3 linked regions of the Arabidopsis thaliana genome follow. The protein of the gene in region 3 interacts with the protein of the main gene of each other region in a pairwise test. Each region holds a gene or a part of one and is shown on either strand. Other genes may lie near its edges.

What was found.
Region 1: the proteins of PRA8 (region 3) and ACD11 interact in a two-hybrid assay, tested with the Arabidopsis thaliana proteins (one study listed by BioGRID).
Region 2: the proteins of PRA8 (region 3) and AGD6 interact in binary tests that used the Arabidopsis thaliana proteins (3 or more experiments, as listed by UniProt).

What each region holds. Positions count from the first base shown.
Region 1 is NC_003071.7:14,625,715-14,637,083, forward strand, and holds ACD11 (Glycolipid transfer protein (GLTP) family protein), read left to right. Parts: upstream 1-4,271; 5' UTR 4,272-4,710; coding exon 4,711-4,902; intron 4,903-5,123; coding exon 5,124-5,296; intron 5,297-5,493; coding exon 5,494-5,642; intron 5,643-5,958; coding exon 5,959-6,065; 3' UTR 6,066-6,368; downstream 6,369-11,369. Other genes in the region: AIR9 (Outer arm dynein light chain 1 protein), read right to left, coding at 196-295, 595-660, 751-813, 946-1,011, 1,096-1,167, 1,258-1,323, 1,604-1,675, 1,774-2,603 and 1 more; AT2G34700 (Pollen Ole e 1 allergen and extensin family protein), read right to left, coding at 8,584-8,894, 9,667-9,883. UniProt on the Arabidopsis thaliana protein: Exhibits selective intermembrane transfer of ceramide-1-phosphate (C1P) and phytoceramide-1-phosphate. Does not transport ceramide (Cer) or GalCer, suggesting a requirement for phosphate in the headgroup for functionality.
Region 2 is NC_003074.8:19,899,741-19,911,284, forward strand, and holds AGD6 (ARF-GAP domain 6), read right to left. Parts: upstream 5,851-11,544; 5' UTR 5,680-5,850; coding exon 4,912-5,679; intron 4,827-4,911; coding exon 4,737-4,826; intron 4,512-4,736; coding exon 3,990-4,511; 3' UTR 3,988-3,989; exon of another isoform or gene 3,912-3,987; 3' UTR 3,507-3,911; downstream 1-3,506. Other genes in the region: AT3G53690 (RING/U-box superfamily protein), read right to left, coding at 1-304; MEE40 (Pentatricopeptide repeat (PPR) superfamily protein), read left to right, coding at 563-2,827; CHX20 (cation/H+ exchanger 20), read right to left, coding at 6,086-6,448, 6,533-7,246, 7,471-7,707, 8,971-10,005, 10,108-10,287. UniProt on the Arabidopsis thaliana protein: GTPase-activating protein (GAP) for ADP ribosylation factor (ARF).
Region 3 is NC_003074.8:4,487,640-4,498,473, forward strand, and holds PRA8 (PRA1 (Prenylated rab acceptor) family protein), read right to left. Parts: upstream 9,162-10,834; 5' UTR 8,130-9,161; coding exon 7,563-8,129; 3' UTR 7,340-7,562; downstream 1-7,339. Other genes in the region: AT3G13690 (kinase with adenine nucleotide alpha hydrolases-like domain-containing protein), read left to right, coding at 71-1,113, 1,249-1,409, 1,507-1,583, 1,670-1,817, 1,890-2,039, 2,139-2,372; AT3G13700 (RNA-binding (RRM/RBD/RNP motifs) family protein), read right to left, coding at 3,369-3,455, 3,524-3,593, 3,706-3,821, 3,979-4,021, 4,112-4,184, 4,272-4,346, 4,435-4,516, 4,595-4,657 and 1 more; PRA1.F4 (prenylated RAB acceptor 1.F4), read right to left, coding at 5,353-5,919; CYP90D1 (cytochrome P450, family 90, subfamily D, polypeptide 1), read right to left, coding at 10,691-10,775. UniProt on the Arabidopsis thaliana protein: May be involved in both secretory and endocytic intracellular trafficking in the endosomal/prevacuolar compartments.

The sequences.
Region 1 (11,369 bases), on a different chromosome or scaffold from region 3:
TTGTGTTTATCTCCATTGATCTAACATCGCAAAATCTCCTACCTCTTCTAACATGCTATTGCTCAGATTTCACCATCAGAAAAATTCTTACTTGGAAGGCCATATGATGAATGAAAACTTAGACATGCTAGTCATCTTTCTCATGAAACGATCAGTCTTAAGCAAACTACAGCACTTCGTTCTACAAAAGAGTACCTCTGTCATTGAATTTCTTCAAGGTAGGACCTACGAGTAGTATGGATGCCGCTTCCAAGTGAGAAATCTTCAGCAATGGATTTTCCTCAACCCGCAGATGCTGTAAAAGGAAAAACACAATATGAAATTACAAACTACGTATTAGTATATATGTATTGAATTAATGGAACATTGTTTCTGTTATAACAGGGCCAAATGCCATTACCAAAAAATTAAGTACTCAAATTGGACCATTGGTTCAGAGGAGAGAATTTCCCATAAGTGGTGGTTTTTCAATCTTTTATACTAGGTAATCTCATGTCCCATAAGATGTTTTATTAAAGCAGTGCATGCGACAACCAATCAGCCAAATAAGAAATGTGTGAAAAAAATAAAAATTGGGAACATAAAGATTGAAACCTCAAGAACTGGTAGATACGGAAAGTCCTTCAGAGTTGTTATCTTGTTCTTACTTGCTGCTAGTACCTGAGAAAAAAAAATTTATAAGATCTCTAAAAAACTATGACTTGTAACAAGGTACTGAAAACAACCTCAATTCTGAAACAGAAAATCTACCTGAAGCCGGGGCTGGCTTGCCATTGCAAGTGACTTTAATTTATTTTGAGCAACCGAGAGAAACTACCATGGGAACAAGAAAGGTGATAGTTGGAAAAAGTAAGGGGCAATCCACAAGTATGTAAGTATGAAGACTTGATAGCAATTATTTGGCACAAAATTGGAACAAGAGGCTTTGTAATTTCTGATGCTCACCTCTAAGTTTGGAAGTTGAGGCAGACTAGCAAGTGAAGTTATCTGATTTCCAGCAAGATAAAGTTGCTGCCCAAGTAATATAAGATTTAAATGTTCATCAGATAGCACTCATGAAGGAAGAACCAAGGATAGAATGGGAGAGAAAGAAACCTGCAGCATTTTGCAATTCTCAAGTGGTTCAAATCCAGGCCCTTTGAAATCATTAAAACTCAAATCCAGAACCTGAGATTAATGATAGTAACAGAATCATAGCTAGTGTGAGCATATATATCTATTAAAAACCAAGAACCCCAGGAAAATGAATTTACTGACCTTGACTCGATTCAATATCTCAATACCTTCCAGCGTAGATAGGAGATTGTCTCTAAGATAGACAAACTGGAAAGAGTAGAAGTAGAGGAAATTAAAATAAGTTGAATACTCGCATAAATGAGGCGGCATATTTAGTGTCCAAAAGATTGTATTTGTCGTTCGGAGATTTTTAAAACTAGCAGCAGGAACTCACTAAGAAGATTCAAAGTTTTTCCTCGTGAGATGTAAATAACTAATCCTCCCTACTTCTATTCAAATCCACAATTGGCATATATGTACATAAACATCATTGTCACAAAGCATTGCACTAGAACACTGTGAAGTTACTATGGAAATATAAGTTTACCTCTAAGTTTGGTGATAAGTGTAAGCCACCAGAGGTTAGACTGCGAATCCTGTGGCCTCTAAGATCCAATCTCTTAAGCAATTACAGACATCCATTAATCAACAACCACAGAAAGGATTGAACCTATTGTATGAAAATCTAGCAAGTACAAAGAGAAAGTGAATTTGTACCATGTCATCGCCAGCTTTAACCTCCACCTTTGGAAGAATAATGAGTCGTGAATCACGGCTTTCAGGGGTAGATGTTTTCTTCCGTCCAGAGAAGTTGGAAGTCCGGTCTAGAGGTGACGAAAATGACTTTGATCTTATACTGCTAGAAACAGAAGGTGATGATCCCGCAGAGGGAGAAGAAACTTTAGAAACTGTCCTCCCACTTGTGAGAGTAGAGTGTAGTCTTCCACTACTAGTCCTGCTGCCACTACTGTCAACTGATGAAGATGGAGCTCTTTTCGAAGACACAGAAACACTCATGGCTGGTCTAGCAGAAGACTCAGGCTTACTTAAACTAAACCCAGTTGACTTTGTCAAACTCCGACTACCTGGTGATACGGGGACAGACTTTTTACTCTCGGAAAGGCTTGGTTTGGATACAGTCTTAGCAGAAAGAGAAGACACAGAGCTCTTCCTCAATTCTGGAAGTGATCGTCTTACCGGATCAGTACGTGAGGCAGTAGTACTCACTTGCTTAGGCAGAACCTTAGAGGTACCAGCTAAATTCTCTGTTACTCCTCCAGTACTATTTCTCCTGATAGTCACAGGCGTAGTACCCGAGACCCGTAATGAAGAAGACGCAGTTGGCTTTATTAAATTCGAACTAATAACTGGTTTCTTTTTAGTAGAAGCAGCTCGATTTGACACCACAGACACTGCAGAAACACTCTCTGGGCTTCTGCTTTCATTAGCTATAGTTGCATTGTCCTCTTTCACTGCATCTACATTGGTTTCCACAGTTTCTTCCTCAACCTTAGCTGCTACTTCCTCCATAGTGAAATCAATCCAAACTTATGCAGATACAAAAGAAACTCAAATCAGAAGAGACGCATGATCAAATCATTAACAAAAAAAAGGAAACTTTATTCATTATACACAATCTCTCTACTTTATTTGTTGTATCCAAATTTCTCCGAAGTAAAAATACAGAATCAAATGACCAAGTGGCCCACGCACATTGTTTGGAATGGAACGCGCATGTAACAATTACTCTACTTTATTGGGTCCGGTCATAACAGGATTTACTAATAAAAAAAGTACGGACTTTAGTAGATTGTCTAAATTCAAGAACACAGACAAACAGAGTTTCTGGCTTCTTTCAGCTAACACTGTCGGTTACCTTCTACGATTTTTTGGTCCTTTTGTGAACAACCAATCCGCATTAAGCAGTGTTTATTTTTGAAAAAAATGTGAAATTCTTGTGAGTGAAACAAGCAGACGAAATTGCAGAAAGTGAGAGTTTTTAGCAATGAAGAAATTCGGGGAAAATAAAGTTTCTTCATTTAAGGAAATAAACCAATAGTAAGACAGGACAAGGAAAATAAATACTTACTGCACTGAACAATGAAGTAACCAGTAAAATCAAAAACCCATTTTCACCGTTTCACAATAACTCCGGTGGCGAGAATCCCGGCGACGATTCCGGCCGTTGAGAACTTGTTAAACAGAGCAATAGAGGCTGAAACAGAGAAATGTAGATCTGGATGAAGCAGAGAATAAAAAACGCAGCTCACTGATTGAAGCTTTTTTGAATGGAATCGAACAAAAGTGAAAACGACGATTAAAAATTGAGGGAAAATAGCTGGAGAGAGAGATGTTGGCGAAAGAAAAAGAAAAAAAAGTAAGGAACAGTGTAAACAGTGTGTAGCGGAAGAGTGTGTTGTGTAATATGTTTAACCCAAAATATACACCCCTATATTATACTTTAATTTATGTTTTTCACCCTCTTATTTTTTAAAGTTCCATGCAAGTACCTTACATTTAAAATTATCATGCGATGTCGGAAACTCAATTTTGTTTCTAAGTTTACCCGGTGAAAATGATAAAACGGTTATAAAAGTATGAGACAGTTGTGGATAATTATAGTAGTATAGGGACTATAATGAAAAGTAATTATCCAGAAGAAAAGAGAGGAACATTATAAAAAGAGAATAAATTAGAGAATTTGATGGTGAGAGAGAAAAGTTTGAAAATTTAGAGAATTTTAAATTGGCGGAAACCGTAAAGGCAGAGTTAAATGGCAAGTGGACGTTTTTCGAAAACTGATGAAATTGTTTTTATTTATTTAACCAACGATAAAATGATGTGCTCAAAAAGTCAAGAAAACAGATTCCTTTTTAAAAAAATTTAAATTTTTTGTGTTCTACTTATCCTAAATTATTACTCATAAAAATCTTCAATTAATTTTAAAATAAGCTCCACCTAAGAATCAATTAATGTCACTATCTTTTATAAGTAATCAAAATAATTGCATCCGCCATTCCTTCTACCCAATAATTATTAGTATAACCCACTAAATATTATTATCCCCTACCTATAATTTTGGTACCTTGTTTTAATCAATGAAAAGAATCGAAAAACAAAAATATGTATAGCCAGAGTGGAACATAAATGAAAGTTTGAAAAAAATCACATTTGTTGATGATGATAATCTTTTTAACTAAAGTATCCCAATGAAAGCTTCATATCTTAATTCTTGAACATTATTCATAATTCATCATCATCATCATCTTTTCTTCAAGTAGCTTCAACACAAGTCTATTGCCCAACTACTATCTATAGTTTAAGCATACGTATTTATGTTTCTTCGGTTCAATTGCACAAAACCGAATTTGGTTCGGATTCAATTCTATTATTTCGGTATTCCTACAGGTTATTTCGGTTGGATTCGGTTATTCATTCACACGGTGAGGATAATACTATCCAGATGAAGGATAGGAATGATCTGAACGCCAAACAAAGACAATTAGTGATCAGCGAATCGCCGCCTTTTTGAGTCGTCTTGCAGCAAAGTAGATTCCGCGGCAAATCACAGAACACCAATCGGAATAATCACACAAGAACAAAACTTGTTAATCAGGAGAAGACGACAGAGAGAGAGAAGGAGAGAGATCTTCCATGGCGGATTCGGAAGCAGATAAGCCACTGAGAAAAATCTCAGCCGCTTTCAAAAAACTAGCAATCATCGTGAATTCACCGAATCCGGAAGTTCCTGTAACGCAATTCTCTCACGCTTGCTCTCTGGTCTCGCCTCTCTTTGGTTGCCTTGGAATAGCTTTTAAGTTTGCGGAAATGGACTATGTTGCCAAGGTTTGTTTATGTAGTAGATTTGAATCAAAGTCCGAATCTTTTTCTAGTTGTGTTCACTTTCATGTACTATTGAGTATATTGTGAGATGTTGGAATTGATTTAGTTTCTGTAGTACTCAGACTGAATTTTGCTAATTTGATGGAAATGGATGTTGTGTTTGTTTATCTGGAGGATGAATGTTTTGGAAAATGAAATGTTAAAACTTGTGAATGTGACTATAGGTTGATGATCTTGTGAGGGCGTCGAGTTCGATATCGACATTAGTGGTAATGATGGACAAAGATATTGAGGCAGATTGTGTAAGGAAAGCTGGTAGTCATACGAGAAACCTTTTGAGGGTTAAGCGTGGTCTTGACATGGTCAAAGTTCTCTTTGAACAGATCATAGCTTCCGAGTAAGTGATTCTTCTGAACTCTCTCTTATTTGAGTTCTTGTGAAAATTTTGATCAAATGCATTAGCCGTGCCAGTTTGTAGGATGTGTGATTTAAATATGGACACTGAAGTAAATGAAAAAATGGAGTCCTGTTGTAGTTTTCTTTTATTTTTGGTCAAGATTAGAAGATTGAAATGTAGTTTGATATCTTTTGCAGAGGAGATAACTCCTTGAAGGATCCAGCAACTAAGTCTTATGCTCAAGTGTTTGCTCCCCACCATGGATGGGCTATACGGAAAGCTGTTTCTCTTGGGATGTATGCTCTTCCCACAAGGGCTCACCTACTTAATATGCTCAAAGAGGATGGTGAGTTCATCAACTAGTTAATATGCTCAAAGTGGATGGTGTGTTTGATAAACTAGTAGTTTAAGTAGTCAGATTAGTTTCAAGGTCTTCACAGGATTAGGTAGATATCACGGCAATATTTGGCCTGTATAAGTCCTGGTATCATAAGAGAGAACTCTTTGAGATTCACATTGGTTTTAAGTTCATTTGGCAGTAGGATATTAGATTTTGAATTTTCCAATACTATCTCTGTTTGAGATTTCATAAATCGAGTTTCTTCTTCATTATGTTCGCTGACGATATTGTTTTTTTCATTTATTTATGAATGTTGTTACAGAGGCGGCGGCTAAGATACATATGCAAAGCTATGTCAATTCATCGGCACCATTAATCACGTATCTTGATAATCTATTCCTCTCCAAGCAACTCGGTATTGATTGGTGAAGAGCCTGAAAAAAAGGCATAACTATTGTTACTCTTTAGACAAAATAACCTATGTTCTCACATCAAGCTATGTAATGTCATAACAACAGCGACGAAATACATTGGAATAAATTGAGTATGTCCTTAATCTGTCGTTTTATCTCTTCTTTTAATAAACACAGTTTATCTCATAGTAAGCAGAAGAAGCTTTACACGGGTTGTAGGAACGTATTAAACGGTTTGTTTCAATTTCACTCTCTTTGGTTTTGAAATTCTAGTATAAACCAAAGTAGTTGGTGCTTCAAGTTGTGTTACTTATTCAACAAAAAAATATATTATTTTTAATTTTTAATTTTCGTAGGTAAGATTACATAGTAACAAAATGTTAAATTTAACAATGTAAGATTACTATGTAAATGCATGGGCACCAGTAATCACGTATCTTGATGATATATATCCCTAATCCAAGCGAGTCGGCATTTATTGGTGAAGAATCTCAAGACTCATAGTCATCGCTAGTTAACAATCTTTTTCGGACAAAAGCGTCTTCGTTAAAATTCGGCATTATTAACCTTTTTGCCCTTTTAAAATCAGAAAATTTCTGTTTTACTGGTATTTTTCTTTGACGATTCAATTTTTTAGTTGTATTATATATATGAAAGAAGCTTAACTCTCTCTCACAGCTTGATATGTCAGTATCTAAAACAAGCAATACATAATTTAATTAATTTATCATAAAATATTTATGATTAAAAAGTAAAGAAGATAAATATTAAAAAGCTAAATGTCTCTTATAATTTAAAAATAAAAATTAAAAAGGATTGAAAAGTAAAGAAGATAAATATAAAGAAACTATTAGTATCTTATAAATAAATAAATAAACTAAAAATTGAAATATAATTATTTTAGTTTTGAATTAAGAAAATATTAAATATAAAAAAAATTAAACATAAAGAAACTATATATATCTTGTAATTAAAAAATTAAAAAAAAATGAAAAATGAGAAAAAAAATATAAACTCTTCATCATATAATTAATGAAATTTAAAAACTTATTGCTTTTAATTTTTTGTACAATAATTAAGGAAATTTAGAAATTAATTATTAATTTTAGAAGAAAAATGTTAAAATAGTTTAATAGTTTTGATTCACTAAATACATGTGTACATATATGATGGTATGAGGATCAAGAAAGTGCCGTAAAATGTAAAACTTCCAATGTTCCTTAGTGAAAAATGTTAACTTTTCTGTTGACAAGACGTGTATATAAACATCACCTATACCGGAGAAGAAGAAGACACAAAACAAAGTTAAAAAGAAGAAATTTTTGGTGCAGTGAATTCGAAGAGCAATATGAAGAATATTGGTTACATTATTATAGCCACCTTGCTTGTTGGTCTCCTCCTCATCATGGCTCTAGTGGCGAGTTTCTATTGGGCCAAACGACATGTCAAATGTTGTGGCGGAGAGGGACTGTCGTCAAAGGATGTGTTCAATTTACTTATACAATTGGTTGCTTTTATTCTGCTTTGTGGTTTATTTGCTTATTTGGTATTTTTGGTTTAGATTAGTAACCTAAAGCCATAGCAGATCGATAATGCGACTCTGCAAAATTTTCTCTTTATACCGCTGCTTGATAATTAAGTTTTGTTTAATTTAATGATATTGTACCTCTATTCTTGATATTTCAATGATTTTGTTATACATTACAAATTTGCAATGTTATTGTTACATGTTACTTCTATATATATATATATAGAGAACCGAAACGAAAGCAATACAGATACTATGCAAATATATAGTAGAGATAGCAAAATCAACAAATAAAAACATGTAAGAAGAGACATGAGTTCATGAAAAGAATTAAAAATCACATAATTAACAGATGTACCAAGCCTGCCTAGAGTTCAAGACATGTCAACAAATTTGTTAGCTTCTTCTTCAGATCTAGCGTTCGATAGGAATAAACTTCTGAATGCTGTTGCCACACCTCTAATAATCATATCTCGATGGCTTATGTCATAAGTGTCCACAGGATGAAGTATGAGTGATGTGTGGAAACTGCGGTGTTGACCATAACATCAAGAAACCAACCTATATCAGCCCATCTTGGCATTATCTCTGATGGGATGATTTCGTTAGTTGGCTGAACTACACAGCAAATAAACCGGACTATGTCGATCAAACTTCTTCAAGAACCATATCTGATGCCGTTTCTGGCTTCCCAAATTTCACATTTTCAAGCAAAAACCTTATTTGGGTTTCCATCTCATGAATGATCCGGAGAAGGAAGTACCTACTTGAAGTTTTCAACTGATAAAACTGTGAAATGTCAGAGCAATGGTTTGAGACCATATCAACCCCACAAATAGTACTAATTACTACAAACATGCACACTAACGATCTTATAATGTCAAAACACACAAATTTCAAATGGAAACGTACCAAGAAAACAAACAAGACAGAACATTAAAATCACTAGTGATCATCATTATAACAATCAAGCACACACCAAATACATAAAACGAAAGTATAGTCTTCAAAGAGCACAGGCAGGCTCAAACGCGAAGGGACCAACAGAGAAGAGAACGTAGTCGTGTTCACCGATGTTGATTGTCTTAGAAGGCTTAAGCATAGCACCGGTTATTCCATTGTTGAGCTTTGACGGCACGGTGCATGTCATCGTTGCAGTCGTGGGTCCAGGATTCGTAGGCCAAGCCCGGCACGTGTGGAAAGCGTAGGTGGTGAGTTTTTTTGGGGCTAGCATGAAGAAGTATCCGTTTTTGTCTGTTTTTGTCTCCATTGTCACACCTCTCTTTGTGTTGTTGCATGCAAGCTTTACGGTCGCTCCTATCATTGAAAATAACGAAAAGATTTACTTGATGCATGAAAGCCAAGTGGCGTGAGAGACTCGACGAATGCGAAATGCACAAGTACCATGCATATTGTAACATTTTTTTTCATATGTGTAAATTTTTTAAAATACAGTTTTAAGTTTTCTAATAATTTGTCGTTTGGTTTGAAAAGAAGAGAACATGCATGCAACACTATAAAAATACAAATACCACTATAAGTGGAATTTACCTTAAGCATATCAGTGCTTATTTGAGTCACACTAATTTTTGGATTAAAATCGTTAATTCAAGTTCCTTCATTCAGAAATATGTCTACCATGCATCGTTAGCTATAATGAGACTTCCTAAACTCAAGACTATTTTTTGGGGGCAAACACTACTTCATCTCATATTTTGTAGCCATCAAGTGGATAGAACATATCTAATATCTTCTGCGAGACCGTATAATGCATGCATACATGCTTTAAACACCGAAACTAATTCAAGAATCAAAATGTAACTTGCTACATGAGTTAATATGAAGACTAAATTTCATGGAATTAATTAAAAAAAATTGCGGTAAATTATGATGTTATGGATCTAGGAGATTACATGGTAACTAATTTTATTTTTTTTTGCTAATAATATAAATATTTTATTGAAAGATGAAAAAGGTTTAAGACATACAATTAAGTAAATCCTACAATTTTGGTCCCATGGCAAAAAAAAGGATAAAAACATGGTAACTAAATTTTTTGAAAGAGATTGGACGTTATAATGTAACGGACCTTGAAGAGGAGATGCTTCCAAGAGAGTATCGACGCCGGAATACTTGCATGACTTGCAATAAACCATGCCTTCAACTGCCACAAGTCTCCTGCTCATCTTAGCCGGCGATGACGGTGGAGTCATTGGAGAAGCGGATGAAACTGCATTGGTGTAGATGAAAGTCAAGGAAATAGAAAGGAGTAAGAGATATTTGAGAGCTTTTGTTACCAGACCCATTTTTGTTCTTTGTTAGTGAAAAAGATAGACAAATGAGATTGTCTCATTAAAGGCCATATTTAAAGCACTAGCCAAAGCCAAGGCATAGTTCTCACCAAAAAAAAATAAGTGATAAATAATAATATCCGTTTCTCACATAATTATAAGAAAATAGATTTATGCTCCTTTTTAGTTTTTAAAAGAGTTTAATTAGTTTGTTTTGTTTGTGTATTATTCTGTGGAAATATTATATATATATATATATATATCTAACTCTACAATACCATCAAGGCATCAATATCACATGATATATGTATTATAACTTATGTTCCCTCTTAACGAAAGAATACCATTAATATATGATATATCATAATTATTATTTTCTTAAAACATCATTTAAAATGGAACGGAAGAGTAGTTTAGATATTATAGTTTCGACTTCTGATTTTTGTTATGATATTTTGTACAGATAAACAAACTATTCAAGTCATTCATTAAAATAAAAAAAAAACAACTCAATAACATACTATTGCTTAATAATGCTCCTTCATATATAGTAATACTATTGTCAATGGATTGTGCAAGCCAAAGACATGACCTTAAAGTTTTCTTATGGTGATAGAGCCATGGAGGGAAGAGGCTATAAATTAATTAAAGTAGTTGGTGCTTCAAGTTGTGTTAATGATATAGTCCCATCATGACAAGTTGTGTTACTTATTCAACAAAAAAATATAATATTTTTAATTTTTAATTTTCTTAGGTAAGATTACCTAGTGACAAAATGTTAAATTTAACAATGTAAAGTTACTATGTAAATGCATGGGCACCAGTAATCACGTATCTTGATGAAATATATCCCTAATCCAAGCGAGTCGGCATTTATTGGTGAAGAATCTCAAGCCTCATAGTCATCGCTAGTTAACAATCTTTTTTGGACAAAATAGCCTCCGTTAAAATTCGGCATTACTAACCTTTTTGCACTTTTAAAATCAGAAAATTTCTGTTTTAAAGGTATTTTTCTTTGACGATTCAAATTTTTAGTTGTATTATATATATGAAAGGAGCTTAACTCTTTCTCACAGCTTGATACGTTAGCATCTAATAGCTTGCCACCTAGACTTCATAAAACAACCAATACATAATTTAATTAATTTATCATAAAATATTTATGATTAAAAAGTAAAGAAGATAAATATTAAAAAGTTATGTCTCTTATAATTTGAAAAATAAAAATTAAAAAGGATTGAAAAGTAAAGACGATAAATATAAAGAAACTATTAGTATCTTATAAATAAATAAATAAACTAAAAATTAAAATATATTTTTTTTTGTTTTGAATTAAGAAAATATTAAATATAAAAAAAGTTAAACATAAAGAAACTATATATATCTTGTAATTAAAAAAAAAAATAAAACAAATTATAAACTTCATCATATAATTAATGAAATTTAAAATTTTTAAAAAATTATTGCTTTTAATTTTTTGTACAATAATTAAGGAAATTTA
Region 2 (11,544 bases), about 15 Mb from region 3:
TTTCTCTGTGGATTGGTGGTGCGAAACAGAGGATTCTGATATCATCGTCTTCATCATCGTAAAGATCAAGATCTATGTAAATTGGAGATTCTGACTTGATTACGGTTTTGTGAGGAGGGTAGACCCAGAGACGTTGAAGTTTCCGATCACGATCGTAATTCTCAACGGAAATAGCATCACGCTTTGTGGAACCACGTGCAGAGAGAGGAGGAGTGGAGAAGATGAAACAATCGGAATTATCGCCGTCGTCGTTTACATCTCCGGGAAGATCAACGATCACTGCGTTAACTGACTGTGTCGCCATTTCAAAAATGATTCTAATTAGGTTTCGTCCACAATCAGAATTAGGGTTTATGAATCACTTACTACTTTTTGCTCTTTTGCATTGAATCACTTTCCATTTTCCAAAGCGTCTCACTTTTTGGCTTACTGCTAAAAAACCTAAATCGAATTTTTAATAATTGTCCGGTTCACGAACGAACCGGTCGGTTAGCAAAAAATTGTAATCCTTAAACCCATTTTGTTGCTTCACTCTCATCATCTTCTCTGGAAACTGAAAACTATGGCTTTCTCTTCATGTCTCAAATTCTATCCATTTTCTATCTCTCAAGCTGTAACCCTAACTCATCATTCCTTCTCTCTCAATCTAACTCCTCCTTCTTCTACCATCTCCTTCGCTTCTCCTCACTCAGCAGCTCTCTCCTCTACCGATGTCAAGCTTCTCGACTCACTCCGTAGCCAGCCTGATGATTCCGCCGCACTTCGTCTCTTTAATCTGGCCTCTAAGAAGCCAAATTTCTCACCTGAACCTGCTCTATACGAAGAGATTCTCCTTCGGCTAGGTCGGTCTGGTTCGTTTGATGACATGAAGAAAATTCTTGAAGACATGAAGAGTTCCAGATGCGAAATGGGTACTTCTACTTTCTTGATATTAATCGAGAGTTATGCTCAGTTCGAATTGCAAGATGAGATTTTAAGTGTTGTTGATTGGATGATTGACGAATTCGGGTTAAAACCCGATACCCATTTTTATAACCGGATGTTGAATCTTCTCGTTGATGGGAATAGTCTGAAACTCGTTGAGATTTCTCACGCGAAGATGAGTGTCTGGGGGATTAAACCAGATGTATCTACGTTTAATGTTTTGATCAAAGCTTTGTGTAGAGCTCATCAGCTTAGACCTGCGATTTTGATGTTGGAGGATATGCCTAGTTACGGTCTTGTTCCTGATGAGAAGACATTTACAACGGTTATGCAAGGCTATATTGAAGAAGGGGACTTGGATGGAGCTTTGAGGATTAGGGAACAGATGGTTGAGTTTGGTTGTTCATGGTCTAATGTGAGTGTTAATGTTATTGTTCATGGTTTTTGTAAGGAAGGGAGAGTCGAAGACGCTCTCAATTTCATTCAGGAGATGTCTAATCAAGACGGGTTTTTTCCGGATCAGTACACGTTTAATACGTTAGTTAATGGTTTGTGTAAAGCAGGGCATGTGAAGCATGCTATTGAGATTATGGATGTGATGCTTCAAGAAGGGTATGATCCAGATGTGTATACTTATAACTCGGTGATTTCGGGTTTGTGTAAGCTTGGAGAGGTGAAAGAAGCAGTGGAGGTTCTTGATCAGATGATTACTAGAGATTGTTCTCCGAACACGGTTACTTACAACACTTTGATCAGCACGTTATGTAAAGAGAATCAGGTCGAGGAAGCTACGGAGCTTGCCCGTGTTCTCACCAGCAAAGGGATCCTTCCTGACGTTTGTACATTTAACTCTTTGATCCAAGGTTTGTGTTTGACTAGGAATCACCGGGTTGCGATGGAGTTGTTTGAAGAGATGAGGAGCAAAGGATGTGAGCCTGACGAGTTCACTTACAATATGCTGATTGATAGCTTATGCTCCAAAGGGAAGCTAGATGAAGCTCTGAACATGCTTAAACAAATGGAATTGAGTGGTTGTGCACGGAGTGTGATAACTTACAACACTTTGATTGATGGGTTTTGCAAAGCCAACAAGACTAGAGAAGCCGAGGAGATATTTGATGAGATGGAAGTACATGGAGTTTCAAGAAACTCTGTTACATACAACACACTCATCGATGGGCTTTGTAAAAGCAGGCGAGTAGAGGACGCGGCTCAGCTCATGGATCAAATGATTATGGAAGGACAGAAACCTGACAAGTACACATACAACTCGCTTTTAACACATTTCTGCAGAGGAGGTGACATAAAGAAAGCTGCGGATATCGTGCAAGCCATGACCTCAAATGGGTGTGAACCAGACATTGTGACCTATGGAACCTTGATAAGCGGTTTGTGTAAAGCTGGTAGAGTTGAAGTTGCAAGTAAGCTTTTGAGGTCAATTCAGATGAAAGGGATTAATTTGACACCGCATGCTTATAATCCGGTGATTCAAGGGTTGTTTAGAAAGAGGAAAACAACAGAAGCTATAAATTTGTTTAGAGAAATGCTTGAACAGAATGAAGCTCCACCAGATGCAGTATCCTACAGAATCGTTTTCCGTGGGCTATGTAATGGAGGTGGACCAATCCGTGAAGCAGTGGACTTTCTTGTTGAGCTGTTAGAGAAAGGATTTGTACCTGAGTTTTCTTCTTTGTACATGTTGGCTGAAGGTCTTCTCACTTTGTCAATGGAAGAAACACTAGTCAAGTTAGTGAACATGGTGATGCAGAAAGCTAGATTCTCGGAGGAAGAGGTTTCAATGGTGAAAGGTTTGCTTAAAATCAGGAAATTTCAGGACGCTTTGGCCACTCTTGGCGGCGTCTTGGACAGTCGCCAGCCGAGGAGAACCTACCGGTCAAGATGATAGATACCTTTAGAAAAAGTATCGTTCCCAATTTCGTAGAAGATATGTATGATGTTATGAATATGATTTCCTATAAAGTTTTGGGGTAATTCATCCATTTAATACTATGTTCGAAGACCAACATGCAGAAACAAAACGACAATGGAGTGTGCGGTGTTAGGTGTTCCTCATTCGTTGGGTCATCCTCTCTCGTCCACTTCTAGTCTCTATGGTCTCTCGTCCTTACTGTTTGTATATGTATTATGTAGGCTCCGATTGTTTTTGGCATTGATGCTAGCGTTTTCAGATTATTGACTATAAGAGAAAAACCTAGACATGATCTCTTTTATTCTCCGGTTAACTTGGCAGATTTCAGACCAACCCGGTCAAATCCTGTGGTCCTATGGTCAGTCCACTATGCTTCAATAACTATCCTCGGTCGTAATTTCAACCACAACCACAAGCGTCGTGTCCTCAACAATATACTGTATATGCTATAGTCATTATTGTTGGGGTCAGTGGGGTTCCGATTCTCCACTAAAACTTTTCTGGTATAAGTGTATGTTTGTTCAATCAAGCAGATCAGTCCACATATGTATCAGTAGATGACGGTTTCGTCACTCGTAGATAAATTATCATTGCCACTTGTATCACTACTTCCACATCCACTAGTGGATTTTGTATGGATCACACCAAAACATTCTTTGAACCTACTATATACTTTTACCCTTTATAGAATAGTGCCAAAACAAGATAATTTATGCGTTTCGAGAACCAAAACATTATCACGCTACGAACAACGGAACAAGGCAATTTTGAGAAAAAGAATGTTCAGTTGTGGTTACAGTTGAAGATAAATTTAAATTGTGAAAGACTAAAACCGAAAATCTTTAGCAAACAATCGGCTATGGATCTTGTACAAATACGTTACTCCTTAACACATGAAGAAAAGATATCAAGAAACCGCCAACTTATGAAGAAAAACGCAGACCTGTGGGTATGGATGAACATGGTTTTAAGATGAAGACCATTCTTATCTTCTATTCAGACCACGATGGTCCCAGCCTTAATTAATTATACACTTCTCACCGGCATTCTGAATCACCTATCCGAAGAAAGATGAATATAACGTTACTGCTATATTTAACTGTTAAAGCTACATGACCTTAAAGGTTGCTTACCCTTAGAGAAAACCTCCACCAGTCCAAGCGGTGTCTGATTTCCCGTTGTGACCAGCAGATTTCTTATCGCCTGCACTTTGGTAATGACCATCGAACCCATCATCTTTGGCATCATGATCATCCCAACCAGTCCAACCATCATCATCATTAGAAGCAGATGACCCCTTTGGAGCTACTGCTTCTGTCTTCTTATTCTCATTCTCTCCCCAACTATCCCAAGAATTTGAATTCTGCGAGTTGTTGTAATGACCACTTGTCGATGATGATTGTGGCCTTCCTCCTCCAACAGATGAATTCGCTGCTTTGTTCCCATTTCCAAAGTTCTGGTAGTAACCATTGCCCTCATTTTCACTCTGCTGATTCCAGCTTGTTGATCCTTCTTTAGTAAACTCTTCTACCTTCTGTGTCGCCATTGCCATTACTCCTTTCATGATTCCCCATGTCCTATGTCCTATCTCTGTTGTCTTATTAGCAACTACATTTACAGTTTCACTCACCTTGTGATCATACCCACCTTCCTTCACCTGCAATAAAATGGTTTCTTATCTGATTTTGACTCCACTTTTCCAAAACTCTATTGCCAGCAGTATTATGGTAAACAAGAATTCTACAGAGAGCATCTAAGAATTGTGCTTTCTACAGAGTTAAAGATTCTCACTAGACGTGTCGTTGAGGCATCAAGCAACGCAGTAACTAGATATTTCACAAACTCTATGCAAATCAAGCAGAGAGTACAGATAGTTAGTTACCTTGGATGTGAACTCCTTGGTTCCTGTTTGAACAACACTAGCAGCTGACTGAGCTGCAGATGCAGCAACCAGAGACAGTCTTCCAAAACCCTTAGCAATTTTTAAACACGAATCAACACACAAAACGTAATTCACCGAATTCAAAAAGGAATTGCAAAACATTCATTCAATTCACCTGAGAAACAACGGAGAAAACATCATCCTGTTGATTATTTCTCGGTGGTGGAGCCGAGCTTGATCCGAATCCTACATACTTGCCACCTTGCGAAGGAGGAAGACCTTCAGGCTTAGACTCATTCTCCGCCATTCTCCTCGCGAAGAAACTCTCTTTCCCAGCGGCAGAAGCCTCAAGCTGCGATCGCGTGTAGATATCCTCCGACGACTTTGACTTCACATGTGCACCTTCTCTATTTCCCGATGCCCTGAAATCATTCGCTGACTGATTCCTTCTCATATCAGATTTGTAAGAATCATCGTTATCCCAACTATCCCATCCTCCATTGTTATTGTTATTGTTGTTTCCGTAACCGCCCTGAGCCAACGGAGGCTTCTTATTCGCTTCCTTAACAACTGGCGGATCATTCCATGGTCTACCTTCAGCTAAAGCTTGGATCCGGTCACGATACACAGAAGCAGCGTTCGAATTGTACTTGGAGATAATATCTGTCTCCTTAGCGATTCCGTATTGCGCGAAGAATTTGTTGAGCCGTTCGTTACCACCAGCTTCCATTTTCTTAATCTGGATCGCAGACCATGAATCCATGGTTACGGATCTGACGAAGGATATGTGAACGCCTAAGCCTCGGTGTTTCCCGGAGCATTCCAAACACATGAAGATTCCGTACGAAACCGACGCCCATTGAGGATTCTTCTGAGCGCAATCGACACATACCTTGTTTTCAGGCTGAGATTGGAGAGTTCGTAATTGTCTCGTCGCCGCCATGTTTCCCGGAGCTCCGAACGATGATCAATCCAACCTGAATCAGATCTAATCCAAATCTCGCAGACTTGTGCTGCTCAGATTGATGCGTTTTTTTTTCTTTTCCGTTTTTTCTCTTCTTCCTAATAAATGTTCGGGGTTTTTTTTGGTACGTGTCTCTGGCACGTGAGAGGTTTCCGGTAGTTTCTCAAATGGCCCAAATGATAATTGTATTTACTATTTAGTCCAAATATGAAATTATATGTAGACGATGCCCAAGATGCCCAATCATGGTTATTTATATGTAGACGATCTTACAATTCTTACTCAAGAGCTATCTATATATTGTAGATAAACTACATCTTCAACTAACCACTTTAACCATGCATTAAGCCGAAGTTTAAGTACTAGATCAATTTATTTATTGTTATCATACATTTGTGTCTCCGTTAATACTTAGAGAAGACTCACTAACAATTTTGGAAACCGTAATATCCTCTACATGAGCTTTGTTGTGTTGTTGAACCACAAGGATTGATGGAATGATGTGGTTGATCGAAGAGGCGAGCACGTCTCCGATAGGACCTAACTCAGGATGTTCAGCTTGACGCTCAGCTAATGCCGCCACCTCGGCCGACGGTATCCTCCCTCTTCCAACCACTATTAGATCAAAGTCTTTACTCTGTCCTATTGACAGTATTTCTTCAATGATGTTGTTTGGTTCCTTTTCTTTGTACTCCACCATTTCTTTCCATTTGCTCTTGAAGTCTTCCAATGCCCCTTCGTCTAATTCCTATAATTATTTTTCCAAGAAAGAAAGCTATAGTTATATTTGTCATAACTGGTATATAAACATAGGGGATCAAAAGAGATTTACCTTTTCTTTTTCTGGATCCACGTTGGTTGTTAAAAAGGCATAGTTCTTCTCCTTGCCTTTAGACGGTGCCGGTCGTAAAGTGACGGCGGTACTCCTCAACGTTTCTCTTACCAAAAACCTAATAACGGTAACTTTAACGGCCGGATGCTCAGCCATTCTCCCGCCGAGCTCTATAGACTCACGGTCATCAGGCCCACCAAAGAAAATCACACAAACCCTTTCAACCACATTCGACCCATCTAAGCTCAAAGTTTGGGCCTCAATGGACCCAAGTCCACGGTCTACAAGAACCGCCACCGAACACGGCGCATTCTTCAAAACCCTTTGGTTAACCAATCGCCAACCATGACCAACGTTTTCCGGTACGTTTCCATCTCCTCCTCCGTCTTGGTGGTGGTGGCTATGACCATGATCAGCGTTCCATCGTTTGTGGAAAGGTAAAATGATCATTGTGACCCTCTTGGTATCTGCCATGTGGCAAATGTCTTCGTGCATTGTGGGTAATGGAGAGACTGCGGTGATGGGCCGGACTGCGACCCGGCCTAGTTGACGATAGGCTTCGAAGCCTCCTATGACGTTGCTGTGACGCTCACCATGACGGTAACGGTGAACGAAAGGAAGTCCGTTTTTACGGGCTCTTTGCACCATTATGATTGACGAAGACCGTTCCGTTAGTTCCATCAGATGCATCACAAACAGCTTTAGCCGTAGTATCTGCCAAAACAAATACGACTTTTTAAATTATTAACCAAGATTATAAATTATTACCCAGCTGATTTTTAATTTTAACTATACAAAATGTGTGTAATTATACGTAGGATACATTTTCATTGAGCATTTCAATGATATCTTAATTTTCTGATATAACTCTTATCATAGATTTACAAATTTAAATATAGATTATTGTAACGTAAAAATATAAAAGAAAGGTAATTTACCTTGGTGGTTCGGATGGACTCGACGAGAGAGATGAGGGAGGAGACATTGGCTGGGCCGTGGAGGCAGGCTAGGATGCGAAGCTCTTCCTTGGTGGAGTCTTGGCTCGCCGACAAGTCTTTTAGTTTGCGGTGGGTGCCACGTGCCGGCTTGTAAATGGCCATTACAGTAGGCGTCGTTATGAACGTTGTGAAGAGTGCCATTAGCACTAGTATTGCAAACGTCTCGTCGTTTAGTACCTGGTTAAAGTCAACCCCGCGTACAAACAGTTTAATTAAAAATAACCACACTTACTACATTAATGGGTAATCATTATTTCACTTTATTGTTGCATTATGAAGAAGATCATAAATCTGCAAGTGGATCAGTAAGTGACGATTACGTAAACATTGGCCCATTCGAAAAGGTATATTCGTATAAAGTTTTCATGCAGAAAAAAAAATAAAAATAAAGTTTTCATGCATGCATATATATGACTAGTCCTTAATTGATCAGTTTTTCTTTATTACCCCAAAACAATAAGAAACGCCTTTATAATAAAAGTGTAGTATATAACTATAATCTTTGTTGGGAAGACACGTTTAAACAAAAAATTTTATATACTACATATTTCCAGAAGCATTATAGTATAATCTTGCACATATATTTAAGATAAAAATGTTTATTTCGGAGGTGACAAAAGAATCACGGACTAATGTTTTGAAGCTACCATTGCTAACTGCATCATCTTCGATGCACATAGTAAACTTAGCTATCAAATTGCAACCGTGTCCATCAGTCTATGATTAATGAACTGCAGATTTGTATTATGGTGACTAATATTACTATACAACGGTTGAGAGCAAACCTAGCTATCAAATTGCAACCGTGTCTATTATAGTGATAGTAAACCTAGCAGCCCGGCTCAATATTTTATTGGGCCCTGTGCTACAAACAAAAATAGCCCTTAAATCTAAACAAAATAACTTTATGTGACATGTGTTTACTGTATTTTTATTTTAAACTTATTATCTTTTATTTTGGTGGTTGTTTTTTTTGTAGTTTTCCCCTTAAAAAAAAAAAAACTGCAAACTAGAAGACTTAAAATTAAGAAAAAAAAATGAGGACCCTGTGTACTAGCACCTCTGGCACTCCCCTAGAGCCGGGCCTGCCTAGCTATCAATTTGAATTTATACAACGGTTGGTTAATGTTCAAATAAAACATAAGCAATTTTACTATTCCGGATCCCCGACCAGCCTACCAATATTGAGCGGACCGGACGCATATACACATGGATCCAACTAGAACCTAAATTTTTAAATATATCTAAACACCCTAAAATAAAGGTATAGATGCGATTAAATCAATATAATAATCGTATTTTGTTTTATATGCTTTATCCACTAAACATGATCAAATAACTTTAGTGTTACTAGGTTTTTTATATTTATAATATTCATCAGATAACTAAAAGCGTAAACAAGAACCTTAAAAAATCAGAAAAAAGGAAGACAAAACTAACCTTTTTCTCCTTGCCTATGTTGAGTACAATGAGCTCCACTAAACCTTTAGTATTCATCAAGAAACCAAGTGTCAACGCCTCTCTCGCCGGAACTTTAACCATCACCGCCACAACAAAAGTTCCGACTATCTTCCCGGCACAAGCCGTAACAACAACAAGACCCAACATCCCCCACGACTCAGCTCCTCTAATCTTAGCCACGTCAGTCTTCAAACCACTCGTAGCGAAATAAAGCGGTAAGAGTAAACCGGAAACAAAATCCTCAATTCGTTCAATCAATCGCTGACCAAACTCTCCATCTTTCGGTATAGTCAAACCGAAAACAAACGCTCCAAAAATCGAATGAATCCCAATTAAATCCGTCGCGAAACCGGAAACCATAACACCGGCTAACGTCAAACACACGTAAGACTCGCGTACGACGTCGTTTTCAGGAGATCCACGTTTCGCGACCCATTTCATTCCGGGTCGGATCACAACCAACATAAAAACCACAAACCCAGCGCCCGATAACAAAACCCACAACGACACTAACGGACTCTTTTTCTCTCCACCTCCCTCACCGCCATTACCCGCTAACGCAACCGCTAAAGCGAGTAAAATCCACGCGGCTACATCGTTAAAAGCGGCTGCAGCCATCGCGGTTTCTCCTATCTGAGTCGTTAAAAGCTTGAGCTCTGCTAAAATACGCGCAAGTACCGGAAAAGCTGTGATCGAGAGTGCGACTCCCATGAAAACGAGAAACTCGGCGTAACCTGGTTTATCCGCGGCGGTGTAGAGAGTGTTACGGATCACAAACGCGACTCCGACGCCGGCGATAAACGGTAGTGTAATTCCAGCGACTGCGATTCCGAAAGCGCGTTTGCCGCTTCGTCGGATCGATGATAAATCGAGTTCTAGACCGACGAGGAAGAGGAAGAAGAGAAGTCCTATGCTCGCGACGGATTCGAGTATCGGCATACTCCATTTCGGAAATATACGGTCCATGTACGCCATGTTTCTACCTAAAGCCGATGGTCCTAACAAAATCCCTCCCTGAAGAAGAAGACGATGGCAGAATTGTAAATTAAGAAGATTATTATGGTAAAATTGTAAATAGTTAGTGTGTGTGGGGTTAGAGTGTAATTTTTAACGTACGACAATCTCGGCGATGACTTTGGGTTGACGGAGAGGTTTGAATAAGACGGCGAGGAAGCGACTGACGGCGATGATTAACGCCGTTTGGACGATGAGTAACGGAAAAGCGAAGTTTAAAGGATTGTCGCCTTGCCATACTCCGTTAGATGAGGTTTTCACGGAGGTTATGTTGAAGGGCATTTTGGGGATTTCAAAGGACTCTCTTATCGACGACTTTTTTTTTTTGTTTTGTTCTCGTCTATATTTGGAACATGTGATATAGTTCAAGTATGAAGAAGATATGTGAAGAAATTTATAGGCAAAAATTATAAATGTATTGGTTTGAAGATTCAAAAAAGTAATTATGTTGTTACTTGTAATTTTGGTGCATCTCACGTGTGACTAGACCTTGAGTGGAAGTATTTGGTTTTTTTTTTTTTTCTTATGATATTTGTTTTTTTAGTAGAAAATTTAAAAACCATTAGATTTTGGGTGCTATAATTAGAAACCATCTATGTCTTTGAATTGTTCATGTTTACAATAAAGTATAGAAAGTAAAAATCTACTCAAAAACAATTTGTGGTTGCTATAACTCATTCTTATCAGTTTTATTTCAAGCAAAACTAATAACATAAATTTAGTATTGAGAAGAAAAAAAGAAACAACTCGTCTCACAGACGGAAATTGCAAACTAAAATAAGAGTGGCTTATCACCGAAGCAGGAATCATGTGAGTCAAACGTGGGACGCGAGAGATGGGCGTTGACAAATGCTGCGTCGGCGTGGATGGGTTTTACAAGTGCAACCAAATTGACACGTATCTATGACTTCTCATATATTCCAAAGTATTTCGATATAAGTTGGCAATATTTTCATTAAATAGAGCTGTTGATTTTTCCAAGAAGTGGTATCTCAATTCTGCTTGGTATTTACGACTTTCCTAACTTTTTATCTAGTTTAGATTGTTCGTCAAGTTTGAAATAAAACTGTTGATAATAGCTATGACTATCATATACAGTATGAAAAAATTAAGAGTTAGATTGTGGCAAAGAGACATCTGAAATTGTAGAAATAAAGGATCTAAAGCAGTGGACTGCCTCGAAGATGCTATAAATTTTGTAATCACACTTTATTTCGACCATTTCATGGTTAAGTAATTATGTATGTTTGTGGTTTAAGATTAATATAATGATCACACGGTTTTCTATTAGATGTTTTGGAGCGTTAGTTACTTTTGTGCATATTATCTTAAGGATCTCTCAAATCCGATTGACGCGATAAAAAGGTCACCAAAAGTTATAGACTCGAAATCCATATTTTCTGACCTACCTAATGGTCGAAATATTAGTCCAAGACACATATCCAATGGAAAAAAACTTATTTAAATTTTTTAAGAGAAACTACGTCAATCATATTACTTTTTAAAAGTTTAGATAGTGGGAGAATTCACAAGAATACT
Region 3 (10,834 bases):
TTAATGATGGGTTACACAATTATATTTACTTTCACCAATTTACACTGGTGTTGTGTGGTTTGTTTTGCAGACACCTCAAGCAGGAAGAGAAACGGTGTATGGATGAATTGCAATGCAACATTGTGGTGATGAAGCGTTCGCAGGCAAAAGTTCTACGCTTAAACCTTGTTGGATCTCCTAAGAAAGATGCTGGAAAAGAGTGTCCCTTACCATCTGGACCAGAAGCAGCATCTGAGAAACACTCAAAGAACACTAAAGGATTGTTAGATGCTGATAGAGGACTACCTGTCACTCCTACTAGCAGCCCTGAGCTGGGGACACCGTTCACAAGTACAGAAGCCGGGACTTCATCTGTGTCGAGCTCCGACCTGGGAACTTCACCTTTCTTCACATTGGGAATGAACGGATACATGAAGAAGGATGGAGCATTGGTGATCAAGGAGAATGATGGTCTTGATGATTCTGGCTCTGAAACAGAGAGTGAAAACCAATCATTAGCGTCAACGAGTATGAGATTCCAGCCATGGATATCAGAATATATTGGCACCCATCGCCACTCATCCCAGGAGGCCGAAGAAAGCTTATTATGGAAAAATGATGACAGGGCACAAATATCCACTACAAAGGCTTTGCTTGAAAAGTTCTCTAAACTTGATGTTGAAGTTGGGTTGTCGTCTAGTCGAAGGATGGATTTAGAGTTTAGTGGAAACGTAAGAGATGCAATATCACTCTCTCGAAGTGCTCCTCCTGGTCCACCTCCTCTCTGTTCAATTTGCCAGCACAAGGCGCCAGTATTTGGGAAACCCCCAAGGCTGTTTACATACGCTGAATTAGAGCTTGCAACGGGTGGGTTTTCACAGGCTAACTTCTTGGCTGAGGGTGGTTATGGATCTGTTCATCGGGGTGTGCTACCAGAAGGCCAGGTAGTTGCAGTAAAGCAACACAAATTGGCCAGTTCTCAAGGAGATGTAGAGTTTTGCTCCGAAGTGGAAGTTCTCAGCTGTGCTCAGCACAGAAACGTCGTTATGCTAATTGGTTTCTGCATTGAAGACAGCAGACGGCTCTTGGTCTATGAATACATTTGCAATGGTTCACTTGACTCTCATCTATACGGTAATATTTGCTTAAAATTCACATGTGCCTTGGTAATACTAATTCATATTTTATCCAAAAAAAAAATGTTGCTTAAAATTTCCATTGAAGCTCTTGTGGTGAAAAATGTTTGCTCAGTATCAAGCTCTTTTCTAGGTCGTCAAAAGGAAACTCTGGAATGGCCAGCACGGCAAAAGATTGCTGTTGGAGCTGCAAGAGGTCTTCGGTATCTTCACGAAGAGTGCAGAGTTGGCTGTATTGTCCACAGAGACATGCGTCCTAACAACATCCTCATCACTCATGATAATGAGCCACTGGTATGTATAAATATGGTCTTGCTCATTCATCGTAACAGCAGATATCCACTGTTTCATATGCTTTTTCGTCCTGAGTCAACTTTGATAATATCATCAGGTTGGAGATTTTGGTCTAGCAAGATGGCAGCCTGATGGGGAAATGGGTGTAGATACACGAGTGATAGGAACCTTCGGGTGAGACACCTACTAAAGCTATCATTTTGCTCCTGAAACTTAACAATTTGTCTGTTGCTAAAAGAAATTGCTTGGTTGGTGTGCAGCTATCTAGCTCCCGAATATGCTCAAAGCGGGCAAATCACAGAAAAAGCTGATGTCTACTCGTTCGGGGTTGTTCTAGTTGAGCTAGTCACTGGCCGCAAAGCCATTGATATCACCAGGCCGAAAGGCCAGCAATGCCTGACTGAATGGGTAATGATTTCATATCTTTAGTTTTCAGCAAAGTAACAGAACTGACTCTCCTTTTGTGGCTTGTGATCTCAGGCACGTCCTCTACTGGAAGAATATGCGATAGATGAACTTATCGATCCGAGGCTTGGGAACCGTTTTGTAGAAAGTGAGGTCATTTGTATGCTTCATGCAGCTTCGTTGTGCATACGTAGAGATCCACATTTGAGGCCACGCATGTCTCAGGTAACCAAAAGCTCTTCTTGAAATCACTCTTCAGTCTCAGTCTCAGGATCATTCAGTTTAAGTTTCTGATGATACTAAAACTTCTGGTAAATAATGAAGGTGTTGCGTATACTGGAAGGAGATATGATAATGGATGGAAACTACGCATCAACTCCAGGTTCAGAGGCAGGCAACCGAAGCGGGAGGTTCTGGGCGGATCATTACAGCGGTCAGCTAACGAATGATGGCTCGGATAGGTTCAGTGAAAGGCTGTCTGTTGAAACGCCAAGACTAGCTTTGAGGGAGAGGGAAAGAAGCCAGAGGTTTGAACTAAACCATAACAAGCAATACTAATCACACTACTTTGCTTTATGATAAGTTTAGTTGATAGGGTATTTAGTAAAGTCCTCTGTTTTAAGTGATGTGGTCCAAAGCTGGCAACACAGCTTTTTTTGTTTGTATAGTGGGGTAAGATGCAAAAACAGTTGCTAAATATGTTATCAAGGAATTTAAAATTGTTTTTGGTAAAGGAGTATTAAAAGAACAAAACAACAAGAGAGGCTTTTTCTCCTTTTTTCGAATTTGAATTATTGGTTTAGGAGAGTCAATAGAATTGTTCTGCAGAAGAAAACAAAACAATGAGAGGGCTTCCTTCTCCTTACGACATCGACATTGGAAGTCTTCAAAATTGTAATAATGGTGCATGAGAGAGAAGTCATGTTTGAATCTGACTTTGCCTGTCAATACAGTGATGCGTTGGTCCTCAGTATCTTTTCTACTTATCCGCATCACCAATTATCAAAAAATTTCAAAATTGAACACACAAGAAAAGCCCAAAGATGGCGAGGACTTTGGTGGGGCAGTACGTTCAGAGGTTCCATGGATTTTACTCACTGGATCATGACAAATATCTGATTGTCTCTTTCTATCAACGTGCTCATAACAACATAAGATTTTGGAGATCTTATTAGTAAATCTTGAATAAATATATTCATATGTATCTCTTAAGTCAGTGTCAGCATAGAAGGATTCATCTTCATGACAACAAATAGTAAGTGAAGATTTAAAATAAGAAATACAGCTTTCATTTGCTTATGATCTCTATATATCTTGTTTTCATAAGAGACTACCATTGGCATATGGTACATTATCCACCACATTCTTCATTTGAGAAGTGAGGCTTTGTGGTTATGATAATCTTTTACTGTTTCCTCATCTTTGATCTTGCATATCTGGAAGAACCAAAAACCAGGGTGTGACATTGGGGTAGCTGTAATGACTATGAGAGTAATAATCTGGCAAAATTTGAATTTTAAACTAATTGTTGAACAAGTGTAAGAAAAACTACTCTTACTCTATATGCATGCCGCCTCGGTCTGAAGAGGATAAGAGGTTCCCTTGAAGATGATTCATGGCATCAGTAGCTTGCTCGATTTCCTGCAATTGGTGAGAGTGGGTATATAGACTACAAAGACAAAATCAAAAGCATGTATAACAACTTATACCTCAAAATCAGCAAATGCAACCGGCATTCCGCCTCTAGCTCGGATTTTTAAAATGTGGAAACCAGGATATCTGTAAGCAAATGGATCAGATCAATCGACTTTCGGAAAGGCAAAAACCAATGATTGTTTGAAGAAACATTCAAACCCTAATGCTGTAGGTTTCAGTCATTGTACAAGGTTACCTAGATAGGAGTTGTTTGAGTTCATCTTCTGTACAATTAGGCCCTAGATTAGCTATAAACAAGGTCGAACAAGCTCGAGCACCAGAACCTCCTTCAGATGCTTTCTCTAAGTGCCCCTGTAGAAATCTATCAGTAAGCTACTGAACCATAAGGAAGTCTATATGGAAGTATCTTACAGTAAGTAACAAATAAGATTTTATTAATCTTCAACGAACTTGAGAAATAGAGATATCTCAACTGGTTAAAAAGATTAGATTTTTGGCTTGGACTTACATTAGCAGATGGTGCTTTACTATCTGGCTCAGAATCCGCTTCGCTGTAAATTTGCAAAGAAATCAGAATACATTAGTCTTCTTCTTTTGACCTAAAAAACTACAAAACCAAGCTTCTAATTGTCATTTTCAACCTTTTGGTAGTATCGTTTTCCTTTGGAGAATCGCTATTTCCAGGTTCCTGCACCTCATCTGGATCGCTATCCCCTAGATGCATCAACAATGATCAAGCAGAAACATAAAGCATTCATACATTTAAATAATTAGGAGTCCACAAGGTAACCAGAACATTACCTTCATCACTCTGGTCATCCTGAGACTTAGAAATTTCCTTGTTTCTGTTATCAATCACAACATAAGGTCCACTTCCTATCCACATAGACTGTTCATTACTCATTGATCGATTTACCAACCACACTAACTCAATAGTAAGAAGAGAGTAAAGTCTAGAAAATACCTGGCCTTTCTTTTCTTCTAGAGTTTGATCTAGCTAGTTCTATATGTAGATTTGATCCTGTTTGAGGATCAAATTTCACACCCTAAAAGAAATGCTTCACCACAATCAAATAACACAATGTAACAATAGAGTCACACAATTCGATCAAAGTGAATCTTACATTTAGCTCATTCATTGCAGCCAAGGCGAATCTATGACTCGTGAATGTTGCAAATGCCACAACCTGAAGATAGGTAACTTCAGAAAGCTTAAACATCGATAGAATCACAAAGTATACAGCTTTTCTAAAAATGGGAATAAAAAAAAACAGAAATTGGAGATTTTTACAAACCTGGTCACCGCGTCCAGTGTACTTGAGCTGACAAGATTCGAATCCATGACGACGACGGAAGAGATTGTGGATCTCACGAGCCTTAACGTCATTAGGCAAGCCAGAGACAAAGAGAGTGTTAATCGCCCCAGGTTCGTCGGCGAGCAGTGGCAGCTGCGGCGGAAGATGATGAGGATGAGAATGAAGTTGATAGACGTAGAAAGGATCGTACGGTTGGTGATACGCCATTTTCCTCTAGCCGGCGGCGAGGTTGACGGTTGTATTAAGCGCCGGCGAAGAGAGCTGACGTGTAAATGGAAGTGTGAGACACACTGTTTAAATGTAAAAATATGTTCCTTTTTGAATTTTATGGGCTGATACTATTGGGCCTTAATGAATGGCCCAATAAGGCGCCAAAAAGTGATAAAAGTAAGCAGCCCGCCAAAAACAAGAAGCGAAGACTTTGACATTATTAAGTTTGTTCATACTTCAAAACTTAAAAACAGAGAGAGAATCAAACCAAACTTACACGGTTACACCATAAACTATAATTACACATAAGATGATCAAAAACAATAGAATATACATAAAAATGGAGATCAATCGTTTTAAGACGAAGGGTGTGACGTCAGTCCTGAAGTCTCAGTCGTCGCCGCTTCTTCATCCAAAAAAAGATCATCCGTCTTCCTAATCACCGCATGGATCAGAACCAACACAGCTCCGGCCATCAACGCCGCAACAATATTAAACGTCGCGTTGGTCAATAGAAGTAGAACGATGGTAATCACCGATAGACCAATCAAGACCGCACGATCGTCGATTTGAAACCTGAACACCTTGAGAGGCACATCACGGAGAAAATAAAGGAAGATCCATAGGAAAACCAAACCGGTAAAGACGATGAGCGAGGTCGGATGCCAAATCAAGCTGAAGAATATGACGTTCAAGATTACGATTGCGTAATTACTACGGAAGTAAGCAAGATTTGTCTTGATTCTTGAGAAAACATCGGAGACGCCGTGAGGTAGTCCCGTGGAGTGTAAATCGAACATCACCCTCCAGGAGCGGCGCGTGGCTAGTCCGTCTTTGATACGTTGCTTAGCGCGTGAGATAGACTCGTGATTCACTGCCGGAGATGCATGAGACGACGTGGTAATCTCGTCGTTGTTCGCCATTAGTGAATAAGATGACTTGATTGAAATAATGTAAAACTGTTCTGATTTATTGTTTTATCTCTCTGTGTATAATATATGAAGAAGGTCTCTTGAATTTGCATATGGAATAAAACCAAATAAATTAGATGGTGTGTTAAAACATTAGACCGAGTTTTTTTCCGTAGAAATTTTGTGATATTATTACAATAATGTAGCGTGATGTTATATATATATAAAAGGATGTAGCGTTATGATCTGATTCAATTTGGTCAATGTCTGAAAGTCGATCGAGTTCCTGGAATATGAAGTTGGAAGAATTAAATAGAAAAACTTGGTCTGCCACGTCCAGTGTACTTGAGTCTTGAGTGGATAAGATTATGGGGATGAGGATGATGTCGATAGACGTAGTTAAGATCGTAATGTTGGTGATACGCCACTTTAAACCGGTTTGCTTCTAATTGGCGGCAAGTGTGGCGGTGGTATTAAGCGCCGGCGAAGGGAGCTGACGCGTACAAAGATGTGTATGCTCAATACTGTTAGACCATCTCCATCAGTAAGGAAAGTTTTTCAAAAAATTAAAATATTAATATTTTAATTAAGACAGATATATTAATTGTTATTTAATAGTTAAACTAATAATAGGATAACAGCTGTCCAAATTGAATGAGAATAGTTTCTCAAAGTTTCTCCTCCAAGAAACTTAATTCTCCTTCTCTCCTACTTTTTCTTCCTTCTCTCTTACTTTTTCCTTTTTTATTATATTTTTTTTATTGGGTATCTCATTGAAAGACTACTGATGAAGATGCTCTTACATATCTAATGGCGTCCGTTTAGAATTACATGGGCTAGAATATTTGTGCCTTTTGAAAGACCTAATTATATATAAGGATTTTTGCTTCAAATCTTTACATTGGAAATTTGAATAAGGCCTGCATATATATCAAGGATTTTTGCTTCAAATTGCTCATTTGTGTGACCCAAATGAAAAAAGAACTTAAATCAAGACCAAACTTTTTTTCCTACTTTGAAGGTGAACCAACCTGAATAAACTTTACAACAAAAATTGATTATTTTTTTGTTACGGAATGCAAAAAGGGAATATTCATTACAACCCATTTTGAATTTATAATGTTTGACTTATTAATTTGATTATTTATTATGTATTTCAGATTAAATCATTTTAAATATTTCAGATTAATAAATCATTCCAAGAAATTATTCCTGAGTTTTGCGAATATAAAATACTCCCTCCGTCCCACTAAGATGAATTTTTTAGAAATTGCACATTTTTTAAGAAATATTGTATAAACATAATTTTAACCTCTTAATATATTTTAAAAATAATAATAAATATTTATCTAATTATTTAGTAAGGGTAAAACGGGAAAACAATTTTAAAATTTGCATTGCAAATATAAAATTTCTATCTTTGTAAGACAAATATTTTTCCTAAAAAATTTATCTTTTATGGACAGAGGGAGTAATAAAAATTATAACAAATTAGAATTGTTCAAACTTCAGACAGAGCTCAAAACTCAGAAAACAAAAGAGAGAGAGAAAGTCTCAAACCAAACTCACACCAATAAAAATTGATTACGCATAATTAAAAAAACAAGATAATATACAAAAATAGAAAAGATACACAAATTTCGAGATGAAACGATTTAAGTCGACGGGTATGACGTCAGCCCAGAAGTCTCAGTCGTCGCCGCTTCTTCATCCAAGAAAAGATCCTCCGTCTTCCTAACCACCGAATGGATCAAAACCAACACAGCTCCGGTCACAAGCGCTCCAACAATATTAAACGTCGCGTTGGTCAACAGGAGTAAAACGACGGTTAACACCGATAAAACAATCAAGACCGTCCGATCATCGATCTGAAACCGGAACAGCTTGATAGGCTCATCACGGAGAAAATACAGAAAGATCCAAACAACGACCAAGACGGTGAAGACGATGAGCGATGTCGGATGCCAGATCAAGCTGAAGAAGATAACGATCAAGACAACGATTGCGTAGTTCATACGGAAGTAAGCAAGATTGGTCTTGATTCTTGTGAACGCATCGGAGACACCGTGAGGCAGTCCCATGGAGTGGAAATCGAACATCACTCTCCAAGCACGGCGCGTGGCTAGCCCGGCTTTGATACGGTGTTTAGCGCGTGAGAGAGACTCGACATCCACCAACGGAGATGCATGAGACGACGTCGGAATCGCACCGTAGTTCGTCATTAGTAATATCGGGTTATGGTTTAGCGCGTGTGAGATTGAATAGAGAAAGTAAATGAAAAGACTGTTTGTTATGTGTATATATGAATTCTGAAAGGTCCCAAGAATTAGGTGATACACATTTGCATATGGCGTTTTCTAAACTAATCTATGTTTATGAAATAAAACAAAATTTAATTAGATCGTGTTTTAAAAAGATTACAATATAGTGTAACGTGAGGATTTGATTCACTACTTGGTCAATGTCTGAAAAGTATAAGTTTTAGATACTCGAGATTTGGGTAACAGCAATTTATAAGTAGATGAATTACTACATGTTGAAGGACTATATAGTTAATTTGAAAGACTAATGATAAAGTAAGAGACACGGTGTCACCGAGCGAGAGTGGCATTATTGAATAGTCGATACAGGCTACACGTGACCCCATTTTAGAGGAGTCTCTCTGGCATATAACTACTCTTTCGCCACGTGTAATGTCGGCAGGAACAATGAGTAAATTATTTATAGTCTCCCTCGGACTTTATCATGATTTTTAGTCAGCCCAATTACAAAAGATATTGGCCCAATACAACGAAGGTTTCATGTCACATGCTCTCTCTCCATTGGACGATCCACATCGATAGGCTTCTTTAGCGAGCCAGACTCATGGCTGCTTTAGAATTGATCCCGCTCTGTGAAACAAGAAAATAGTTAGCTTGTGTCAAAGCACAATACATATAAGATCAAAACTATACCAAAATGTATGATGGATTACAAAAATCTTAAGTTTTTCTCCATAAGAACCAGAGAAACCTATTCAACAAGATTGCTTAAATCAAAGGTATATTATATAATGTAGCTTTCGTTACAAGTAAGCAGAGAAGCAAATACATATATGTAAATCAAGTAGTACCAGATCCACATCACCTATTTTCAAAATAATTCTACATTTTTGTATATCTCAAGGTCTTCCAACAGTCTCTAGTGTCTGCCGCAGCAAACAAAGGTTCTCTCACGACTGTTCAGGGAGACTAATTAATCCCAATAGATGGGGGATATGTTTCACTGTTACCATTACCAATCTTATATGATCACCACCCACTAGAACTAAATGGTGATATACTCATTATATACTCTTATTGTTCCAATGGTTAGTGATCATACAAGATTCGTGATTGTAAAACGTATCCGCCATCTCTTGGATTAGTATCTCTGAAATTGTCTACTTACATGAAAAAAAAAGTTAGTGTTCTCCATGGCCATGCAAACTTCACCAAAAAAAAGCTATAACAACGGAATTTCGGGCTGGACTTATCATCAGCCAAACGAGAAATAACTAACAATAAATGAAAATCAAGGTCTTGAAAAACTCAAAATAGGGAATAAAAACAAGAAAAGGCTCAACGGCGGCGATAACATAAGAAATACCTATTTGCCTAAACAGTTGCCCGTCTTTGCCAATATATAGGCTTTTCTATTATGCAACTTTTGGGCCTTTAACAGGCTTAACGGATGGATCTCTTAAAAGTGAAGCCCTCTTATCCAAATCAATTCTAAAGGCTATTGTGTTAACATAAACAACTCGTAGTTACAATAGTGAGAAAAATGTAATATAGTACAATTAGTGGTTAGATCTGGTTGTTAGTGATGTTCAGTTGAAACAACACAACTTTCTTGTCTTGTCACGTTGTTTAAATCAATTTCAGTGGGTTGTTATGTTAATTACATCATATCATATAAGTGGAGGAGAAATAATATGACTTTGCTTAATCATTCATTATTACATCTAAAACTATTAGAGACTATTCAGAAAAGAGAAAACCATCACCCAGTTAAAAATTAAAAAAATAACTAGTAACTGTAAAATTGCTTAGGAAGCGTTGGCGTAAGCTAATGCTTCTCTGGATCCGTTAATGTCTTCAAAAATTTCCTAAATCTATTGTAGCTTTGTTTTTACTTTTTTTGCCAAAGTTGCTTTTGTACTGGTTTTCTTTGTAACGCCACAACTTCATTATTAATGATATTAACATATTTAGCAAAAAAACTGTAAAATTGCTTGAAATAGATGTAGACTATCATAATATCTTTATTAGACCATTCTTTTGGAAATATATAAATGATTGAACCAGAATTATAACTTTTCTGTAATGATTTTCTTAGTTAATAATTTAATATACGAAGAGGAATAGTCGTCCTTAACATTTAAAAAAAAAAAAGAGAGAGAGGAAATAGTCATGAAAATTAGGATTCTATATCATATGCATAATTATCATACACCTTTGTACTTCAAAAAAAAAATATATATATATATATATATATACGGTCAACAAAAAGGTTTTGTGATTCTGTCCTTATTTGCCTTGTGAAGGAATACGACAAAATAGTTGGCATGTGTGCTATCGTCTTCCACACGTGTGAATCATTTTTTGTCTCCAAACTCCATCATGTTCTCTTTTTTTCTTACCTTTTGCTGTCTCACTATCTTTTTCACTTCCCACTTACAAAACACTCGTGTGACTTCTTTAACCTTTTAGAGTTTGATAATGCAAAACTGATTCTCCATTTTTCACTTAAGAAAAATGATTTATATTCTTTTGATCCAAATGGGTAATTTGTTCTTCATATGCACCGTTGGGAAGTTTATGATTGTGTCTTCTTCTGCTATCCATCTGCATATCATAATCACCAACATATTTTCAAATAAGTCTCTGTATATCGTTTAAGAGTT